Canis lupus familiaris: one gene and its partner. The protein of the gene in region 2 interacts with the protein of the main gene of each other region in a pairwise test. Links are inferred from orthologs where the notes say so. Each region holds a gene or a part of one and is shown on either strand. Other genes may lie near its edges. The genes, in order: DERA and ALDH16A1.

Region 1 (3,822 bases), on a different chromosome or scaffold from region 2:
CAGAAATGTACATCATTTAACTTGTTAAGAATGTATGAGAACACAGTTAACATTCTAAGCTAAAAGACTACATTCTCTGGCCTCACTTGCAGCCAAGATGGCCATGTAATTCAGTTTGAGCCAAGGAGGTATATACAAAAATGCTGTGGGAGACTTTTAGGATAAGACAGCCCTTCTTTCCTGTTATCTGGGAGATGAGTGGAAAGGCTGGAGCTTCAGAAGCCATCTTAGATGATGGAGTGCCCTTAAGTCTGAGAGTAGAAGCCACCCCATCCACTTTGGAAGTGGAAGATCAAAATAGCATAGGTCATTAAGAACTTTTTGGGACTGCCACAGTACCCCTGAAATACCTACCTCCAGATTTTGTATAAGAAAATAAATCCTCAAGTGTTGAAACTACTAAATCTTTGCTACTCTGTAACCAAAAGCAATTCTTAATGGATAAACAATGGAATTAGGATTTATAGAAGATAAGCTAGATGGACCGATGGATAAGCAACACAGAAAGATAACAATGAGACATTGGCAAGTCCAATAAGTAGACTAAAAAAAAATACATTAAGTATAATCCTACTTTTTATTTAAACTTTTAAAAAGGATGTCAGTTGCATGTGTGTATATATGAAGAGAAAAAAGTCTGAAAAATTGTGCTGTTATGACGTTATTTCTAGGGGATAAGATTATGTGGAACATCTATTTTCTTTATTACTGGTTAGAATTTTTGTTTTTAACAGCAAGCAGGTAAAACCTCAATAATGACTATAAAATATGCCATGTATTTCATATCCACCTATCTAAAGAGACAACATATTATTCTGGTTTTATCTTATGATTTAATTAAAAATTTTAGTTGAACTATTTTTATAATGATTTTTTTGAAGCAGAGAATTGTACTTATCTTAGCTATCAACAAACAATCTCTAATATACAAAATATATTTAAGGCAAAGGTCAAATCTATTTTTTTAATATCTAATTATAAAAACAACAGCTTGTTACTGAAATGGGTGATGTTTTATCATAATCGGTATGATAGTAAATCATGAATCTCAAAGGTAAATATAAAGTAGTATCCATAGGAATTATGTGTAAGAACAGCAGGAGTGAAAACAGACTTAGCAGACTTATTACTAAGTCCACATCCTCAAAATCCACCAAGATTAACATTAAAAAAGGGAAGTTTCTTCCACCTATTAAAATAAACTTTGCATAAATGACTTGCCTAGAGTGATTTATGTATTGAGTAATAAAACACTAGAGAATAGAATAAAAATTAATAATCTACTGCATAGAAATAACCACTCACCTAAGCACTCAAAGGGATCTAAAAAGTTAATGCAGGTGGGCAACTACCTAGGATTTATGAGGGGAACAAGGAAAAGCAATACTAGCCATGTTTTCTCTGAAATTCACCCTCTGATCTGGTGACTTGTAACCTAGAACAATGACTTCCAAAACATGTTGCCTCTTATCCAATCCTCACCGTTTGATTCACGCAGGAAGAACTATGTCTCCCTTTTGGGGAAGGACTTGCACATACCTTCCCACTGGCCCGTCAGCACCAAGGTCCTGTTAATGACCACGTCAATTTCTGTGGCTCCATCTTCCACAGCCAATCTGATCTCTTCCAATCGTGTTTTTAAATGAGTCTGTCCAGCTGGAAAGCCAGTGGCCACTAGTAGAGAGAGAGAAAAGAAAGGAAAGAGGGAAGGAGGATAGGAAGGGAGGGAGAGAGGGAGACAAATTTCAGTTGGTGTATCTCAACTAGGAGTTTCATACAAAACAAAACAAAACAAAACAGCATTTTGATCAAGGAATAGATGACACTAAAGAGCTTCTACACCCTTATCTTATAAAGTGAAGTGCAAAGAAACAGAATGTCATCTCATGATATTGGAGTTAGGATAAATATTAGTATTTTGTTGTCTGAAAAACCTGAAATTAAGTTTCCGTAGAGATGCTCATAAGCAGGCTTTAAATAAACAGAAATTAAGAAAATATGTATCATCACAGTGATAGTCATAAAATAGTAGTTATAGACTTGTCTTGATGGACACTGGTTAATTATGGATCCTACTCTTAATCAAATTGGTTATCACTGTATTCTTGATTTACTCACTAACATTTACAGCTGTTGTAACCAAATGGTAACATAGGTTCTTCTCACTGCCTATCTTAAAATGAATAGCCATATAGATGAGAATAAAGGGAAAGACTGTACCAGGGAAAAGCATCTAATAAAGTCTACAAAACTGGGGCAGGGGTGAGTTGGGAAGAGCAAAACCAAGCACAAATTTCTTTAAAAATGGAAACACAGCTACACTTCAGAAAAACCATTACATTTTTTACATGTGCATCATTAATTCCACTTCCATTACTAATGATAACCTTTTATATTTCCTTGATGTTATTAAATTCCTTGGGTCTGCTATCTTAGAGGGAAGCATGTTTCCCTGTTGTATAAAAGAAAAGTTGAATTGACTGAGGCTGATGAAAAAATTTAAGGTAGCTGCCAAACACTTTCAGAATCTTCACAAGTAGCTTGTATATCAATACTATGTGTTTCTTCTGATGTATCCCTAATAAAATAAAGTAATCATGTTTAGACTCCTTATTTTAAAGCACCAGGATATTCCTCTAAAAGTACAATCTAATTTTGTATCTATCCATAACACACACACACGCACACACACACACACACTCACCTACACAGAAACTTTAAAGACTCTTCTTACTTTCTTGCCAAGTCCTATTGGGTCTATCTTAAGTAATAATTCCTGAACATACCCTCTCTTCTTTACCTCCCAGGCTTTGGGGTGGCTCTCCTCACTTCTCACATGGACTATGGTAAGTCTCCTTAACTCCCTGTCACCTCTCTCTACTGTATCCACTACCATCCCCCTGACTCATTGCATCATGCAGCTGATCATGATATGCCTTTGCTTAAAATCTTGCAGTATCCCTCCCATCAGCAGAATAGACTCCAAATGCTACTGCCAGACCTGGTTTCCCTATGTGAACTGGCCCTAATCTACCTCTTCCTCTTCAACTCCCAGAGCTCCCCCTTCATCCCAATTTAGATCCAACAATTATAAACTACTTGCAGCTCCCTGTGCATGCTTCTGTGTCTTCACACATGCTAGTTCTTCTAAAATGCCATTCCCTATCTCACCAACACCGTCAACTCCTCCTTCTCCTTTGAGACCCCAAGCAGTTATCTCCTCTACGAAGAATCCCCTCACTCTCTGAGCATTACCAGTCCGTGCAAAATAAATCACCCCCTGCTCAGAGTTACAACTGTACCTTCTGCATATCTTTACTATCACACTTTACATATATATAATACAACATATCCTGCCTGATGTTTTAAACTCGATCATTCCTCCTAAACAACCAAGTTTCCTTAAGGACAGGGATACAGTTCTGTATTCTTGAAAACGAGTATGGTTTGTTACTCAGGAGGCAATTAGATACTGAAAGAATGAGTAAAAAAGAAATAATTAAATATATAAAACTTGGGGCACCTGGGTGGTTCAGTGGTTGAGCCTTTGGCTCAGGTCATGATCCCAGGGTCCTGGGATCAAGTCCCATGTCAGGCTCCCTGTAGGGAGCCTCCTTCTCCCTTTACCTAGGTCTCCGCCTTTCTCTCTGTGTCTTTCATGAATAAATAAATAAAATCTTAAATACACACACACACATACAACTAATTAACGTCATAATATAAATTATATATAAAACCCCAGGGGTCTGAGCGGAAGAGCTAGAAACAGGTAGAAGGACAACAGCAAAAGTCAAAACCATCTTACCCGAAGCCACCGGGATT
Region 2 (3,822 bases):
GCCAGGGCAGGGCAAATCCTCCACATCATCTCAAGAAAGGAGAATGTGGGTGACAAGATGAGACCGACCACTCCTGTAAGAATAAATAAGAGGACTGGGACAGGTACTGCTAGGTCGTGAGGGAGGAAGGCGCTGGGAGCCAGGACTCCTGCTTCTCACCCATGGGCTCCCAGCCTGCCAGCACCTCCTCCTGGGTGCATGCCTGGACTGCATGGTACTGGAGCAGCTGCTGGGCCAGTGGGACATCCTTGTCTCGAATCTCTCGAACGGCTCGCCCAGTAACCAGGGATTCCAGGGTCCAGAGCAGCCGCTGGTGCTTCTGGATCATCTTGGCCAGCCTGCAGAGAAAGCCAGGGGGATAGTCATTTCCCACTGCCCTTCCATCACACAGTCCCAGAACACCTCCTCTGTACTTGGACTACAATCCTTATGATCTCCCGGGGGCATCCCTGTCATTTACCGGGGGGGAGAGCAACAAAGATTCATGGGAAACGTAGTCCAAAAAACACAAAGCCTGAGGGTGCCCTGTGATGATATGGGCCACCCGCAACCCCCAATGGTGCATGGAAATTGAAGTTTAACCTCTAATCTCAGTCGTATTCTAGAAAATGGAATGTTTGTCTCTAGGTGGCTCAAGAGTGTGCTGGAAGATGGAGCCTCGATAAACCCCAGGGATATTCTGGGAACTAGAACTTCTTCATTACTAGTCCTGGTGTATGGATGTTTTCACTGCTAAAGGCACCAAGGCATGCTGGGCATAGGAGCCTGAGCTACCCAGTAACTCAGTGAGATATCGGGAAATAGAGGGTCCTCACAGTTTCAAGTGGGTGATGGAGGATGAAGTCCTTTCCCACCTCCCATGGTCCAAACCTCAATTCCATCACCTGATCAGATGCTGGGCCCGGGAAGCTCCAGGGAGTCCGCTCCAGTTCTCGAAAGCCTTCCCTGCCACTTCGACTGCAGCCACCACATCCTCAGCCTGTGCCTGGAGGCAACTGGCCAAGCTCTCTCCTGGGGGGATGAATGGAGGCACCCCAGATGAGACGAGTGGGGGGATCCCATGTCAGAACTGGAGGGGGCTCAGATTTCCAGAGCCCAGGTGCGCCCCAAGGCAGAAAAGCTTGTCCCCCATAATCAAGGAAAGGATCTTAGTAGAGAGTGATCTCAAAAAGCATTGACAGGCACGTAGAACGTAATTAGGATGACTGCTAATAGGAAGAGCGTTTTTTTCCCACTGGCTCCACCCTGCCTTCAGAGCAAAGGGAATGGGGGGTTGCTGGGAGGTAAGGCTGGCCAGGGATACAGATGCCTCTCTCCCCCTGGGGGTCACCTCATACCTGTGATGGGATCCTGGCAAGGCACTGAATTCCTGTGTTCTGGCTTTAACCACTTTCCACTCACATAGTGACCCAAGCGTCGGTCCTGGGTGTCCAGCCAGGCCTGGGGGAGGTGAAGACAGTTTGGAAAGGGCTCTAGGAGGCATATGGGGGAGCTCAATTCCCACCTAGAATCCTCTGGGAGGGGGATACCTGCACCCCTTTGCCCCCCTAATTCTTTTCCTGTGTAGAAGAAAAAGTGTAAAATATATTATAATCTAAAACTCATCACATTAATCATTTTAAGTTTTTAAAAAGTTTTGAAAAATGTTTTAAAAAGGTTTTATTTATTTGAGACAGAGAGAGAGAGAGAGCGAGAGAGCATGCAAGCATGAGTAGGTGGAAGGGGCAGAGAGGAAGAAGCAGATTCTCCACTGTGTGGGGAGTCAGAAGTGAGGCTTGATCCCAGGACCCCAAGATCATGACCAAAGCCAAAGGCAGATGCTCAATCGACTGAGCCATCCAGGCACCCCTCATTTTAAAGCATATAATTTATTAGCATTTAGTATGTTAACAACATTGTGCCACCATCACCATGATCTAGTTCCAGAACATTTTATCCCCTCCAAAGGAAACTCAGTCTCCCTTCCGCCTGACACTAGTCCCTGGCAACCACTAATCTGCTTCCTGTTTCTCCAGATTTGCCTACTCTGGATTATTTCTCAGAAATGAAACCTTACAATCTGTGACTTTTTGACTGGTTTCTTTCATCCAACACAGTGTTTCTGAGGTTCATCCATGATTTGCTTGTATCAAAACTCCATTCCTGGGGTGCCTGCCTAAGTGGCTTAGTCAACTAAGCACCTGACTCTCAATTTCAGGTCAGATCATGATCTCAGAGTCTGAGATCAAGCTCGGCTGGAAGCCTGCTTGATTCTCTCTCCCTCTGCCCCTCCCGGCTCTCTCTCTTTAAAAAAGGCTTCATTCCTTTTTTATGACTATATGATATTCCATTGTCTAGACAGGTCACATTTTGTTTATCCATTTATCACCAGTTAATGCATATTCAGTTTGTTTCTGCCTTCTGGTTACTGTGAATAGTACTGCTTGGAACACGCATGTACAGGTTTTTGTTTGAACACCTGTCTTCACTTTTCTTTTAAAGATTTATTTATTTATTTATTCATGTGAGACAGACACAGAAAGAGAGAGTCAGAGACACAGGCAGAGGGAGAAGCAGGTTCCCTGCAGAAAGTCGGATGCAGGACTCAATCCAGGGATCTGGAATCACGCCCTGAGCCCAAGGCAGACACTCAACACTAAGCCACCCAAGCGTCCCAATTTCTTTTGGGCTTATGTACCCAGGAAGGGAATTGCTGGGTCATGTATAACTTACGGAGGGACCACCAAACTGGGTTCCATGGTGGCTGCACAGTTTTACCCTCTCACCAGCAACATGTAATGGCTGTCCTACTGACTTTGAAATGTGGCTTAATAAAACCCTTTCTCAAAAAAATAAATAAATAAATAAAATAAAATAAAATAAAACCCTTTCTCCTCCATGGAGAAATGACCTCAGGTCAGGTTTCTATTTCTCAGGAAACCTGAGACAATTCAGCTGCATTACCAGTCATCAGTGACCCCTGAATGGTCCACCACACCTGAGTAGGACAATTGAGAACACGCCATAGATATCAGTGGGAAGCCAAGGCATTGGGGCCTTCTGGAGTGCTCTGCATTCCTGGGATTGGGCACATACCTTGTCACAACCCTGGAAGCATTGCCCGTAACACTGTATCAGGCAGTGATCAGGTCCTTTTTTTGGGAGGTGGGGTTTTTAAGCCAGGTGGCTTATGCATCCAATGGTGTGATGCCATTCTCTCCCCCCTTAGCAGTCATCACTTTGAGGAGAGATATGGACAGAAGACACAGGCCTGCCAGGCACAGCTTATTTGGCTGTTATGTGTCTACCTGAGCCCAAGGCACAGCACACAGGCATGGTAAGCCTGCTATGAAGTCCCTAGAGCTACAAATTTGAATCCTGGCTCTGGTACTATTGTGCAACCCTAGCCAGGGTGTTATAATACCCTGGCCTTGGCTAAGCCATCTGGAAGATGGGGATAATCACAGCCCCTCCCTACTTCACAGGGCTCTGGCGAGGATTAAGTGCATCAGTGCACATAATAAACTCAGAGCAGCACCATGTAGGATTTCCTCTTAATCTTACTGCACCTAGCCTTCCATGTCTGCTCCATGTTTCTCCCCTTGATCCTGTCTTCCCTAAATCCTGGAAAAATCCAAGACACACTTTCCACTTTTTCCTTCTACAATTGCTCTCTTCTTAGCATCCCAAAGCCACATTCACCCAATTTTCCTCTTACCCTGCCAATTGGTTCTCTCATTTTTCTTTGAAGGAAAATGGTGAGTCAGAAGTTTCAAATCCAAATACCCCCAGAGAGGGTGCCTGGGTGGCTCAGTCAGTTAAGCGTCTGCCTTCAGCTCAGGT

Evidence for each region.
Region 1: the proteins of ALDH16A1 (region 2) and DERA interact in binary tests that used the Homo sapiens proteins (3 or more experiments, as listed by UniProt). The link is inferred for Canis lupus familiaris from reciprocal best matches to the Homo sapiens genes ALDH16A1 and DERA.

What each region holds. Positions count from the first base shown.
Region 1 is NC_049248.1:15,433,497-15,437,318, reverse strand, and holds part of DERA (deoxyribose-phosphate aldolase), read right to left. Parts: coding exon 3,806-3,822; intron 1,675-3,805; coding exon 1,540-1,674; intron 1-1,539. UniProt on the Homo sapiens protein: Catalyzes a reversible aldol reaction between acetaldehyde and D-glyceraldehyde 3-phosphate to generate 2-deoxy-D-ribose 5-phosphate. Participates in stress granule (SG) assembly.
Region 2 is NC_049222.1:107,715,881-107,719,702, forward strand, and holds part of ALDH16A1 (aldehyde dehydrogenase family 16 member A1), read right to left. Parts: intron 1,441-3,822; coding exon 1,338-1,440; intron 1,012-1,337; coding exon 885-1,011; intron 339-884; coding exon 160-338; intron 74-159; coding exon 1-73.